Lepisosteus oculatus: one gene and its partner. The protein of the gene in region 2 interacts with the protein of the main gene of each other region in a biochemical or structural test. Links are inferred from orthologs where the notes say so. Each region holds a gene or a part of one and is shown on either strand. Other genes may lie near its edges.

Region 1 (7,705 bases), on a different chromosome or scaffold from region 2:
ATGGCATTTAATTCCAACACATGTCAAGCACTATAACAGTTCCTAAATCAAAAATGTTTTGATATAGTACGGTACAGTATTGTATAGACTTCAGTAGGTAAGTGAAGCCCATTATATATTTCCACTGAAGAATCATGAACAAGGACAAGAAAGTAGTTATAGCAATTGGCAACCCAGTTTGTATTTTATCACACTAAGAAAGTATGTAATAAGGCATATAAAATGCACATGAGGAAATTGCTTACAGAAAATAGCAAGGCCAATAATTATGTGATCTAAAAGTGGCTGAATTAAAGAATAATGGGGAGTTGTTGTCTAGCTTTGGCAACATGTCCCATCACTGAATGTTAAATTTTATCATTTAGTTTTGATTGTGTAAACACAAAGTAGCCTTAAGAAGCAATAAGGAATTAAGAACTGCCATTAAACTTTAGATTCTTTACTACTGAAACCAGCTATGTACTCCAATTCAGATATTTCTGTACCAGGTGATATCTCAATACAATGTTTCCTCATTTGTTTAGTTTGTTTTATTAGCAAGGAGAAAATGAAAACATTCGTAATTATACAACTTATTATTATTATTTTAAGAATCTTTGTTTCTGTCCCTTTTTTTACCACTGACTAGTAGGAACTATTATATGTACACATTGTATACATATATTTGTATATAGAGCTTATCAGATTTCATTAAAACATTTCAGATCCAGATCTGTTAAAAGACAAGTGGTTTAACAAAAAATAAAAACCTGAATTGGAAGAACTTATTTACTCTTAAGAGACGCTGTCTTACCCACTCTGTGGCCGGCCTGCCTGCTGATGGCAGCCACACACTGGATGTAGGTACGTGTGGTGGAGGTGGAGGCGTTTCGGGTGAGCTCGGCCAGCAGGTGATCCATGAGCTGGGTGAAGACAGGACTGCTGCAGCTGGGGACCAGGTGGCTGAGAGCAATGATGCCCCGCTTCCTCACTGCCAGGCGGGGGCTGGTGAGCTGGGGCAGCAGGCTGCTCAGAATGGAAGGGTGGAAGATCATGAGGGTCCCACTCAGCCTGTGGGCAGAAAGGATATAAGAGATGAATATGGGGTCAGGAATTGACAATGTCCCCCGAGACGTCCAGGGTCCAGTGTTGTGCATACTGCTTATATTAGCACAATACTGTTCATCAAGATAAATAAGAGCAGATGATGAGTTTCAAGGTTCAGGCTGGAATTATAGGTAGAGCATCTGAGTGTGTTGAAATACACACCATTACTTGTATACTGGCAATGGCCTCAAAGGTCTCTGTATTAGACTGAGAAGAATGTAATTTACATCTTTATCAAGGAAAATAACCACCTACAGTATTCAGATCATTATTTAAAGCAATAATGAAAAAGTCAGCTAAGGAAATGCCTTGCTTCAAAGCCTTTGTGTGACCTTTCTTCTCTAATAGAACAGAACTAGCAAAGCTGGTAAGTGCTATAAAACTGTTTTAAAAATTATTTTTTTAGTCAGTGCTTTAAAATAATCATTCCAGAGACATGGATAAGAGTGGAGATGCCAGATAAAACTAACAAATAGTGGAAGACAATATAATAAAGTTTCATTTAAGTAAGATACAACTACAGTGAAGATTTACAAATCACTTCTGTGACACAGAGTGAACGTCTCCTACCTGCTCAGCATGTCTGAGAGGATATCCAGTGCCTCCAGCTGTATGGACACATCCTCTGTTTTCCCAATGGTTGATGTCAGCTGTGTTGTTATTTTCTTACACACATTTGCTGTCAGAGCAGACCCTGAAAAATGTAGTATTATTTTTACAGATTCCATCACTGTACGTTTTTGGAGTAAAATGTTAACTGTTTGGTTTTAGATTTTTAAATTTTAAGATTAATTTACTTGATAACGAGCAGTGGATTTTCAAAATTACAATTTCAAATTGTTCACTTGGAAGTTCATCATTATCCATGGCATCTTGGGTATGCAAACATCTCTATGAAATCTCCAACCCCAGTCCTAATACCTGCAGTAACACTCACCCTAACACAGTTAGTTTTTGGTGAAATCCATGACATCAGGATGAACAGCAGATGGCTGAAAGAATCAATACCTTCATTATAGCTGATCGTAATAAGATCATGAAATCTCTTACCACTGGAGGATGGAGGAAGCTCAGCAATGACTGTTTTCAGGCCCATACTTGAAGTGTCTCGTAGTTGCTCTTTATCTGAAAGCATGTTGGAACACAGCGTGTCCACAATGGTCTCCACCTGGTATTCTTTCACCTTACTCACCAGTGGGCCCAAGCTTAAACACACAAAACAAAGAACAGAAAAATCAACAGTAACAGCTGTCTGTTCATTGCAAACATTTTTTTTCTGTGTGATACACTGGTTTAATTTATCCTGAATGTGATATATGCCCTTGACGTTTTTAGAATTTGCTCCAGTTTAATATTTAGTCCAACTATTGTTTCTTAGGAAAATTAACACAACTCTTTTCAATGACCGCTTTCTCTCTTGTTAGATTTGCACCTTGACTGTTTACATGAGTTTCAGAAAGTCAGCTCTGGAGCAAAAACCTCTTTGAAAATCACACTGAATGTCGGTTGTTTATAATTCCCTGTCAGCGGTATGGGATTTAAAGGATTGTGGATACTTATTAAGCTCACTCACCATTTGACTGCAAGGTTCTGAACCTCTCCATTCTTATCTTCCAGCAGCCTCAGGAGCATCGCAACCACCTTCTTCTCACTGTCTTCATCTAGCTTGATGGAGTCTTTCTGGAGCTCCATCATCAAGTCATTGGTGGCCATGAATCTGAAAGCAGATACCCACCACTGTCATAATCAGCACCACTACTATTCCAACAGGCCCCTGACACTTTCTTCTGAGATGTCCAGACCTCCGAGGGGCGAAATCCAAAAAGCAGAAAGGGAGGGTTTGAGTGAGGTGATGGGTGTTACACTGTTCACAGGGGTAACAGCAGTGATGTCCACACGCAGCTCTGCATAACCTAAATCACGTCATCATTGTCTCAACAGAAAATATATCAATCTCACCCATCTCTTCAGATGATGAAGCTTTCAAAAGACCTGCAAAACCTGCAGACACCCTCGCCTTCTATGACCAGGATTATAGAAACATTGGGGAGTCCTTTTATCTAAAGCAGTCATAGAAATCTCATAGTTCTCACTTCTCCAATGATCTACTGTGTAAGTGACTTCTTCTGCATAATGACTAATACAAGTCACCCAGCTGGCTGCTTTACACCAGTGGTGGGTTAAGTGGGTTCCCTTCTTCATGTAATACACTTTGGGATCCTTTATATTTAAAAGTAGTAGAAAAATTCAATGAATCATTATTATTGATGTTGTAAATGGTTTATATGTCTGCTAATACTCTGTTTATAAACCGTTGGCAAGGGTTCTGAACTGTCTTCAGTAATGAATATAAATAATGAATACACAAGAAGAAGAAATATATTTCAAGAAAACAAAATGCATGAAGGATTTTATCCTTTGTATGAAACAACTGTCATCTAAATTAGATGTGGAATTAGAGACCACATAATACCAGTCACTCTGACATTAAAATATGTTTTACAACTATCCATTTCCATAAACCAATGTTGTATGTTTATTTTTCAAGTTAATTAATTTTACTGCAGGCAAAAAGTTTAGTACCACATAATATTCATATCAAATTTCCTGACGTTTAAAAAATATTATGGCTAATAATCCCACACACTTAAATCCATCTTAAAATGTGAGGATGGACTGAAGCAAAATGTAAGACGCTCAGCTGACAGACATTTCCAATGTCATTTCACCTTTAATTTAGCTATGCTCTAGGTTGCATTAAAACATGCAAACTAATACAGTCTTACCTAAAATCTTTATCAGTAGATGTCATTTTCTCCAGTAGGTTGGAGATATGATAAGTCACACTGGCCATCTTTTGAGTTTACCTTTGAAACTTGTATTCACTCTACAATCTTTTAAGTAAGTATAGCAGAAATTTCTTTTAGTTTACATGGAGAACATGGCGAGGGAGAGACAAGAGTGACGCTTCAGGGTAAGAACAAACTGGAAAACCTGATACTCGGCACGCAGCGATATAAATAGCTTACAAATTGACTCGCTACTAGCACCGCCAAGTGGTATTAACGCCTATTGCAAGAAAGTCATACTTTTTAGAACTCACAGTACGGTCCTGTCTTCCAGGTAGTGTTTTAGTTTTACGTCACCTTTTAATTAAAAAAGAAAATTTACTATGGTTATTTACGATTATTTGTCTATGTAATAATATAGGTAATATGTATGGCTCTCTTGACATAATGGGTTTGTTTTAGTAATTAAAAACAATTGTTCGCCCCTTTACGTTGGAAGGAAATACTTGGTCATGTTTGTATTTGACGATAAAATGTATTGCAAGAACTGTGATAATGCCACTTGTGTTAAATGTGAAATTACGCCATGTAGACTGCGAACTTTGTAAACAGAGTATCAATGTTTGCTCGGAACTCTGTATCGTCGCTCCTTGTTGTAGCCCGACAGAAGGAGTGGGGATGCTCCCGGAAGTGGAGTTGAGTTAGAGAAGAAGTGGAGTTGCCACGTCTAAGAGAGGAAAACGGCTGGAGCGGGAGACAAAATTGACTAAACGAGATATTATAAATCCAATTTATTAATTGTTTTTAATAAGAGCGGTCATTTTAACAGTAGTCAGCACAAATATGGTGAGTAAATCTATTTTTAATCCTTGGTAGAAGTCTCATGATGGCGATTGCATTTAAAGTTTTTGATCGGTTTGCAGAATGTATCTCATTCATTGAAAAAAATGCTTGATTTTACACTTACGGTTATAGCTTCAATAACAGTTGAAGCAATATCTAGATTTCTGAAGCACGTTTAAAGACGAGGATGAATGTCATAAATCGTTGATTTACGAAACGACAATCGCCACGTCTAAACGTAGATGTTGGACTTTGAGATAACAGGCGCCTAAGGTTTGGAAAAACTGCCGACCTGTGATTGTAGAGACATTCCTGTATTGATTTATGTTTTCAGTAATTAGTAAACAAAATATTGAAAACAATACATAGCAGTATTGCGTGCAGTCGCTTTATAAATTTGCACGGCGTCTTTAGAGTCATATTGTTGTTTTTGCCTAGTTGCTAGCTTTGTTCATTAGGAACCACAGTTTAATATACTAAAAAAAAGGTTTGGTTTCATAAGTAACCTCTACATTGTAATATTAATAGTTATGCAATTTTCCCTCTTAGGTTTCAGTTATAAATACTGTGGACACGTCCCATGAGGACATGATCGTGAGTATTACTGCTTTTCGTAATTATGTGAAATGCTAAATAACCACTGTTGTGTGTTTAGTTGAGCGGTTTGAGATCGCTGAAGAATGCAGTTTCGTTATACTTCGTTAAAAAGTCCTCTATTAGTTATTGTCTGTTGTTAGTTGTTAAAAGTTTCTACTGTACTATACTTTTTTGTCAAGCAGCCAGGAATTGAAGGTGTCCAGCTGTTTTATGTTTCAGAATTTCAGCACTTGGACACTACCTGACCCTGTCTGCCCTTATCTTCTTTGCCATGTATTTTTTTCTCTTGCCAGCATGATGCTCAGATGGACTACTATGGTACCCAGTTGGCTACTTGCTCGTCCGATAGGTCTGTAAAAATATTTGATGTGAAAAACGGAGGTCAGATCCTGGTTGCCGATTTGAGAGGGTAAGTTCTGGGATGGTTTTCTCACCGTTACTAGTTCAGTGGTATTTTTCAGACAAGTATTTTGCTTCTTGGGAGATTTATTCCCAGAGGAGTCAGGTAGTGTCTGTTCTTAATCATCTGTTTTATCCTTTACATGAGGCAACCACGCACAATCCTTAAAGAGGCTGTGCTCCTGGGTGTAATTAGGTGGCGCTCACTCCTATGCCATGTGCCTCACTTGTGTTTTGATTGTGTAAATGGTTATTTTGTAGCTGTAAACTTCTATCCTTTCATGGAAACATTTGAGAACCTCTTTTGTTAGTTTTTTTTTACATTTCTGCTGATTATGAAAATATAATAATACTGAAGCATTTTGTCCTTACTTTCCTACAGTCACGAAGGGCCAGTCTGGCAAGTGGCCTGGGCTCATCCAATGTACGGGAACATTTTAGCGTCCTGTTCCTATGACAAGAAGGTGATCATATGGAAAGAGGAGAACGGCACATGGGACAAGATGTATGAGTACACAGGCCATGAATCTTCAGGTAGACAGACTAACTGACAGGCTATTGCTGCATTTCACCTTTTTGCGGACCATTTTAGTTTTTTTTCTATTTGCTGTCCAGCACTTGGGGTATTTTTCTTAAGTTAATGATAACTTCATATCACCTTTTTGTAAGGCAATATAACCATTGCCACAAATAGGCCAGACGATTACACCAATATCTTTTCCCTGTTTTAGCTTTTGAACGTTACCTTTGATTTCAGTCTTTACTTGTGAATGACAGAGACAAGATAACAGGTTGAAGTATAAGGCAATTCTCGTTCTGCATGCACAGTGGCAGAAAAGTGGAATTTACATCAAGCACGAACTTGAAATGTTTGTACATTTGTCTACAGAAGAAGAAAAACATGATTTTACATTGTACACATGCTAAATTTCTACCAGTACCTTAACAGGATAATCGCCACTTGTATTAGCAAAATGAACCAAAAAAGAGACCTTTGAAGTAATATTGAATAAGCTAACTTTAATTAAAATGGGTTAGTCTTGACAATGGATCTTTAGTGCCCTAAATACTGTTATTGATCTTTGGTAATGTCTTAAATGTCGAGTAATTAAAAGACTTGAAGGTTCTATTATGAAAATAAGATAAGGGAGATGTAATAAAAGCATGTGTGTATAAAGTGGTTGCATCTCAGTAAGTACTTGTGGTGCATGGTTGCCTTCTAAAAGCTGCCCTGTGTCTCTGTCTCGTACTTGAAGTAAACTCGGTGTGCTGGGGGCCCTATGACTTCGGACTGATTCTTGCCTGTGGCAGCTCAGATGGTGCAATATCGCTGCTCACTTACTCCGGGGATGGGCAATGGGACGTCAAGAAGATCAGTAACGCACACACTGTAAGGGGCCTTTAATTTGACTTTTAAGTCATTTTTTTCTCAATCTTAAGTGTCACTTGGTTAAAGGTTGTGAGTCCATAAGATCATCAAAGAATGTTTAGCTCTTTCCTTAAAGAACAACAATGAAAACAATAAAAGAAAGCTCAGCTTATAAAATTTTGTTTGTGTAAAACTGCATTTAATAGTAATTGCAGTAGCTTGATCAACAGCATATATATATATGAAATTATATATAAAATAATTCAAACGGTGTAAATGCCAGAATAAACTTGCAAAATAAACAATATTTGGCACTTATTTTCTCTCTCTAAGATTGTAAGAATTATAGTACATTATCAACTCAGTGGCCCATACCAAACATAGTGGATTAAAAAGCTGCATATGGACATTTTTATAGAATGGAGTATGGTTTTGTAATGTTAATTGTTCTTGTTTTGTTGCTTCTAATAGTGCTTAGTACTGAAATAACTGGAAATGTGAAATATCAAGTTTGAATCATTGAAATGATTTACAGTTTGTCTTCCATTGTGTGAAATTCATAAACTGGTGGTTGATGTTCAGCATTGTTGAACCTGAGAAGTTTAATGTTTTTTGAGATTCA
Region 2 (7,695 bases):
GCAAAAAGTACAACTTACACACACACTTGTGTCTACCCCTCTTAAAATGTTTAGAGAAGTAATGGCACTTATGTATTAGTTTACCAATACAGGATTGTAGCTATAACTTTCAAGGACAAATGAGCACTTAGATACATGCAATGACCAATATGAATATCTTAAGAAAAACTTATCAATAACCATGTTTAAAGTAATGTGTGGTCATCAAAAACGATTTGATTACGGTCCGTGAAGGAGTAAAAACATCACAGAACTTAATTCAGCTAATTTAGTAGGCATGAAATCTGCATTTTCAAGATGTTATTCAAGCATTTTTGGAAGATAAATCTAAAATCTGCAGGAATCTTGTACTCAAGGACTGTCTGCCTCCAAGATACAGGATAACAATGCTTATGCCATCAGTGGTAATTTTAGTTCCGTGGTCCTGTTGGAAAGATATTCCAAAATAAACACTATTTTTTGTGCGAGTGTTTTTCATGTTGCCACCAAAGTCCACAGAAAACTCTGAGGACAAGTTCAGACCTGCAGGTCATCAGGTGGAGCTTTCTAATGATGCACAGGCCCCATTTTATCAACAGACACTACAGCTTACAAAGAAAAATATAATAAATAATAATCTGCTTATTTACATTTAGCTCCCTTTTTTAAAACATAATCAATTTCTAAAAAGTTATTTAATGGAAAATGCAAAAGGAACTTTAGAATGAAGTAGTACAAAAATGGATTTTAGCATTTACAACAGTATTGCATAATAGATTTTTACAAACATTAATAATAACCTGCAAGTTAATTTTCACACAGCAATGCATAGATCATAAAACACAAGAGCCAAGCCATGAATGGGCTTGGAGACATAAATTATAAGTTAAAACGGTAACCCTTCTCGGTTGTAATTCGGGTATTACTGTAATCACAGATGTCAGCAGAAAACAATTAAAATCAGCCTTGATGTTTTTAAATGAGAGACAGTGATGCTGAGAGCAAAACTCAGTAAAGAGCTGTAGTTGCCCAAGGGGCAAAAACAAATCACTAATTAGAGAAATAATTAACTGCACCATTTTTAAACAATTTGACTGAGTTAATTTGAATGTCACAGAAACACATTTTGGACAATGCTGAGGTTTAAAGGAGAAATATTAGAATACATCAGTGACCTTTAACTTTGCCAAAAGCACCTAATGACAAAGTTTTGAAGAAACAGTTAGACCTCATGCTGAGACCTAACAAGTCAAATGACCTGCACAGAAGAAACTAAGGCACTAGATGAGACATCAGCTCCCTATACGAATTCAAGTTAATGAGGTCACATCAGGGTTATCAGGACTCCAGTTCAAATATAGCCTGCCCACTCTGGCTCACATCCACTCGAGAACAAGAAGAGGAGGTCACACAACAGAAAGACCAGCATGTGCAAGTCCTTCCCAACAGGCACAAACCCACAGGTCCAACGTCAGACCTACCCCACTCACCAACATGCCATTAAGTAAAAGAACCTTATAGTGTGTTTGGGAATAATCATTCATTGGCTAAAATGTGGATGCAATACGTACAAAGCATACAGGGGAAAATGGGACCCTCAACCCAGACAATATATGTGCTTTTAAGGCTGATTATACCATATTTTAGCAATGTGACGTAATCAAAAATTGCACAATGAACCTAGTTGGTAGCCTGAAGTCAGTAGTATGATATGTATAGTAGGATGATAACTCTGCCAACCGCAACACTCTTAATTATAAGTAACCCAGAATCACTAACTCTCCTCTCAGATGGCTTTATTTGCAAATCACTGGCTAATGCCATAACTGAGAAGACTTGGCTGGAAACCCAGAACTGCATACGCAGCAGGTCTAATATGGTTTTCGTAAAGGCCAGAGCACAACAATTTATTAAATACGAAATTTTAGGGCAGTTTTGTAAGATTCTCATCCCAACTAGTTCTCACACTTTTAAATTCTTCTCCATTAACTTTTAAGACACATTTTTTCAAACAGGTCATAAGAAAGAACTCTTATGTCATATAAATCTTTAAATCATGTACTACATCTTCTCAGTCCCAGGGAGTTCTAGTTAGGGAAGAGAATTAACATTTATATGATTAAACCTATTGTTAAAACATTGTTTATACTTAAAATTAGCCATTTACAGAGAAAAAGACTCACCACGCCTAAATATTTCACCACAGTGAAATGCAATAATTCTTTTTTAAATGACTTAAATTTAAGTGCGATTAAAATGTAATTATGAATAGGAATTACTATTTGTGAAATTACAAATATTCAAACAAAGACCATAACGAGGTCGAAATTGTATTAAAAAATGTTTTATTCTACACTCTCATTGGCCACAGTCTGTGAACCGTATGCAGCGATACACAAGAGGGCAAAGGCTCAATAGATAACTAGCCACAGCGTTTTGGCACCGAATTGCCGTTTCTGTGGTAAAACATATAAATATGAAAACAACAGTAAGCGATTTCCTTGATCCTTTTAAAAACGCGTTTCTTTTAAAGAGCAACGTTTAATCTGTTAAAAAAATGAAGTTTTACGACTGGTCTAATTCATAGATCTGTGCCAACAAGCACTGTTTTTTTTCCCAGTGATTCGCTGGGGGGGGTAATACTGTAAACACAAATTGTTTTCGTAAAGCAGCACATTAATGCTGAACAGAAAACCACAGCTCCAAAACGCCACTCATGCAAACTTTTACCTTTTTTAGATGAATGAAACGGAAAGACCAAAGTCGACAGGAAACTGCGGGGCAGCATGAAGCTGCGTCCAAAAATACGGTTTTACGTCGCGTAACCGGAGGAATACTTGCAAAGCATACACGTAAAACCGAGAGTGGATTTGTAATATTCACTGGTGCCCGGCGTTGCAGCTGTGAGACCTGAATGCATTGAGGCCTAGGATGCAGATCAACAAATTCAGTGTTCTCCCTGAATGAAGGCTGGTGGTATAGTGGTACCGAGCAGTAATACAAATAAGTGGAATATCTTCCACGAAAGTCCCCTTACCTTCCGTGCACAGTACGTTGATTGCTTAAAATAAAAAAAGTAAATATCAGAAGTCAGCCTGCTCTTGATCCACTTTAAATCGTATATTTCCCCCCTTTATCCTTCAGGTTCCCTTTCCTGGTTGTTACGGGGTTTATTATTTCTGGTCCCGGCTGCAGGTTTACGGCTGCGACTCAACAAAGTCCACGTCCCCATCAACGTGGCAATCCTCTCTCCACCCCTCACACTGAGCACTTCCGGCGAGCGGAGCAGGACGGTGCTCTCGCAGCCGGCGGAGGAGAACGCGGATCTCTCTCCCAGGGTTCAAGACGGTCCTTGCTCGGGGACCGACACATGAAGTTAATAGGTTTGCAACAATCAGAATTGCACAAATAGAAAATGCCTGTATAATTTAATCTTTTTTTCATTCACTTTTTATTTCTAAAATATTATCGCATGGATGCATCTTTTGCGACGCCATTTACTAAAACCTTAATTGTAAAATACCACGTATTTTTTGGTACTTTTCAGAAGGGGAGAAACAAAAAATTAGAAAAACATGGTTTAAATATATATTTGCAATAACTTAATGATTATATTCCAGCAGGAATGTAATGTCACAAAAAATGATCTCACCTTTTCCACGTTGTTCTGTAAAGATGTTTATAATCCATTTATGCATGTCAGAATAAATTAAAGCCTAAAACCCTGGAGATTTTTTCATTTTTCTTCACTCATTTCAATTCTCAAAATTAAATTGGATGTAAAATCATATCAATCTTATGGAAAACGTTCACTCAACAATTAAAGTACATTATTTAAAGATGTTATTTCAATTAATCATGTTTGGTTTACTTTAACAATCCAAATGCTCTGAAGCAGCTCCCAAACATGTTTTCATTACCTTAACAGGAAATCCACTGCAACACGCTATCAAACTATAGTTTTCATGTAATCTTTTGCCTCCACTAGGTCTATGAAAGGGGGCATTGTTTTACAGGTTTGCTGCTGAAGCAGCATTGCTAGGATAACTACTTTTCAATTAATCTGTCTCCCAACTCAGCACAATCTCTTTAAAAAGGTTCTTGGGAGGCTTTAGACAAACTAAACCTATGTAGTTCAAGTGGGTAGCTGCATGACCTGCAAAGGAACATGTAAAGGTTTATTCCATGCTGAAAAAAGGAAAAACATTTCAGCTTGGGACACACCTGAAGAAGGCTCCACAGCAGAAATGTTTCAGCCTGTAATAACCCTCTACTTGTTTCTAAACCTACATTGTTTCAGACCCTTCTAAAAAAAAAAGATGCCCTGTAAATTCCACAGAATATAAACCAATACTGAATGATCTCTTGGTCTACGTGAGGCCAGGTGATCAGCATTTGCTCATGGTTAATTCCAAAATGTGCACACTTGGCTCACATCAAGACATCATTAATGTGGAAAAGACTTGTACCCAGATATCCAGATCCATTTTGATAGCTATAAACGCACAGAACACGTAGTGTTTGGTTACCCAATAAGACATTGGCTTGAGGCAAGAAATTCAAAGAACTGCAGTCATGTTTCATTAAAGATATTTATTTGGCACAAAATTACATTACACTTAAGAATTAAGGCTTCAGAGTAAGCCTGGAATATTACCAGAATTTACAAGAACTTAACTCTTGTGGTAAAATAACTAGTGTGAGAACCAAAAGGCTCCACATATATATATATAAAGCCATATAAGAATTCCTGGATAATGTTTGAAATCTCATTTTTACATTAATGTGACCTTATCTGCAACACCCTAAAATTGATTTCGTCTCTACACACATACTTCTCTGAAAACAGCTTCTAATAAACCAAAACCAGGGCTCTTGTTTTACATGGTTGTTGAAATGTCTGCAACACAAGTTTATGGCCGATGGGTTGAGGACTGGTTGGCTTGTTCCCTATGCCATGTTGAAGCCGATATTCCGGCTTCCATGAAAAAAAGGGCTTGGATGTGAGAAGCCTATTGTTTTTTCATGGTTAATTGGTCAAGATGGCCCCCCACATTTGCAAATGAGAGGATTCCCCACAAGATCAGAAGCAGCTGGTCTTCAAACCAGGCAAAAGCAGGTCTAGAGCATTCGTGTAGACTCCTCTGTAATCCCCAGGAACACTGCAAAGATAAGAATGTCAAGATCACCAACACATTCAACGGACTTCATTGCCTCCCATTAGGAATTGATATTTTAGTTCTGCGAGATGTAGACTGAAGACTCCTTCCATTTCCACACAAGGCTATGGACACACTTGTAAGATTGTTGGCTCGTCCCTGATCCCCCCCCCTGCACTGCCAGATTGACCTCATGGTCACCAGCAAGACACCATCTGTGGAAGGCTTCCTTCACTGGGCTCAACATGAAAACCCGGCTGAGAGATTTTCCAACTATTAGGCGTGTGCATGAAGGATAATAGTTAAAATTCCAGTTCCTCAATGCACTGTAATGCAGTCCTACAGTCCCGAGACAACACTGTGAATATGAATCCCAAAATACATGACAAATAAATGGGTTTCTTTGAAGATGCTGCTTGATAGAATGCCAGGAGGCCACAAGATGCAATAGCAAATACTGCCATCAGTTAGCATTTGTGGCCTCGCTTAGTGTACACTTAGCATTTGGTAGAAGCCAGGTCCTTTGTGTCCTTTTACGGTGTACTGCAAGACACCCACAGTAATAGAGCCTAGCACATGGGTATATAAGCACCACTGGCCAGTCCTCTCAATGGCAAGTTTCTTAAACCACTTATAGATCTCAAACTAACCCATCTTTCCATTTTACAAGATATGTACTTAAAAATGAAATTAGATGACCGCTATGTGGCCCTTCTGCACCAAGATCTGGCCACTACAGCCAAAAACATTTGCTACATTTTAAAATAAACATTTTTCTCCAGAGGCCTTTATGACGCAATGACTAATCGGGGCCTCCACGACAAAGGATTTCCAGCAGCTGACTGCACCCTCATATACAAGTTTTAATCCTCCCCCCAGAGGAGGGTCAGATGGGTAGTGATTGATTATAATCACTGGGCCAGTCAGATTGGCTGTGATGTGTACAGTGACTCCATGGCTCACCTGCCGAGTGGAGATAATGGTACCAGACAGTGCAGCCCCACAGTCCCTTTAACCTCAGTAGGGTGAAGTGCTCCTGTTCTGAAGGAAGAGAAACAAGAAGAAAAACTAATAAGAATCACAGCTTATTAAAAATCATGGCAAAAAATTGTGTTCAGCAGTTCTGTGATATTTTAAAGGAAACCAAAGCCTAAATCTGAGCTGTCTATTTAATCGAGCTGAGATTTGTTTTAACAAGCTGCACAATTGAAACCTTTATTAATTTTCTCAACTCGGATACGGGAGAGCTCGGGTAAAACAGTGCTGGTGCTCTGTACCCTAAAAAAACGATTTCATTCTAATCGTACTCCCTCATCTGAGCCACACGATTGACTCCGCCATTTCCTGCACTTAGGATTTAGTAACGGGAGACTTGTGTTGAATTTACAAGAAACGGATGCTGCCCTACATCCTTCTTAACTACTGTTAAAGAAGTTCAGACAAGTTAGACTGACACTAGCACTCAATTCCTTTGTGTTCTGTTCGGCGTGAGGTTTGTGGGACATTACACGTGCGTGAAGGAATATACCGCGCTTCATTGTTAAAAAAGGCGCTCGTAAATTACCTTGCAAACTTCAATTACACTCCATCTCCAAAAGGATCAAGACCTTTCAATGGGCAACGAAGGAATCTGGAAGGGAAACAAAAGATGTTTAGAGCTCATCGTTGGTGTTGGGGGAGGAGCGCCAACTTCAAATAAAACGTGGCTTGGAAACTATAACAATTTACCAGAACAATGGAACACAGAATGAACTCTTACAGACAAGATCCTTCACCAAGTGGAATCGGTTAATAAGAACGACAACTAAGTCAGGCCAGATTTTCGTGTCGCCTAAATAGGCGCGGTAAGAAACCGAAGTCAGCCCGTGTCCTCATATAACTAGATAAATCGTAATCACAATGCTTCATGATGTGAACAGCAGAAAAGAGTTTAAAATCATCGGACACAGGCGACATTGGGTATCATCGTAATCATTATTGCGCTAATTAAGTACATAACCAGAGGAAAGGGTGCAAACATATTGCTCAGATAACTATAATTTTGCCGACCCCTACCGCAACCCGACTTGCTGTAACTTACTCCGTGCTCCCTTCTCCTCCACGCGTCTTCTTTTTTGTCTCACATCGTTGAAATAATCTTTTGTGCATACGCCAGCATTGCACAGCACACCACATGTGCCACCCCTAGGATCAGCTTTCCACATCGTCTTCTACTTTGTTCCTCTCACCCCAGCATCAAAAAGGAGCTAACGCTCACAATTTAGGGGTTTTATATGAGCTCCGCGGGGCAGTATGGGTAGGTCGTAAAAAGACGCCAATGACGTAAAGAAAATGTGGACAATACGCGTGGTTGCTTGGGAGTTTTCTACTTCCGGTCTGGAAATACAGTTTAGCGATGATGCAGGTGTTCAACCTGTTGAAATATACGGAAGTGTCTCCCCCCCCCACAATATATTTAACCTGCTTGTTTAAACAATAGTGGTCACACATAATGTTTGAACTTCACACAACTGGTAAAGAGATTTGTATTACCCGAGAGTGCATTAAATTGTACAAT

What was found.
Region 1: the proteins of sec31a (region 2) and sec13 form a complex in vitro, tested with the Homo sapiens proteins (2 studies listed by BioGRID and IntAct, with this or other methods). The link is inferred for Lepisosteus oculatus from reciprocal best matches to the Homo sapiens genes SEC31A and SEC13.

The regions. Positions count from the first base shown.
Region 1 is NC_090699.1:58,913,317-58,921,021, forward strand, and holds the start of sec13 (protein SEC13 homolog), read left to right. Parts: upstream 1-4,521; 5' UTR 4,522-4,718; coding exon 4,719-4,721; intron 4,722-5,267; coding exon 5,268-5,312; intron 5,313-5,608; coding exon 5,609-5,724; intron 5,725-6,096; coding exon 6,097-6,248; intron 6,249-6,970; coding exon 6,971-7,104; intron 7,105-7,705. Other genes in the region: cand2 (cullin-associated NEDD8-dissociated protein 2), read right to left, coding at 794-1,050, 1,657-1,780, 2,137-2,291, 2,660-2,803, 3,873-3,940. UniProt on the Homo sapiens protein: Functions as a component of the nuclear pore complex (NPC) and the COPII coat. At the endoplasmic reticulum, SEC13 is involved in the biogenesis of COPII-coated vesicles.
Region 2 is NC_090698.1:27,495,207-27,502,901, forward strand, and holds the start of sec31a (protein transport protein Sec31A), read right to left. Parts: upstream 3,265-7,695; 5' UTR 3,017-3,264; intron 1-3,016. UniProt on the Homo sapiens protein: Component of the coat protein complex II (COPII) which promotes the formation of transport vesicles from the endoplasmic reticulum (ER).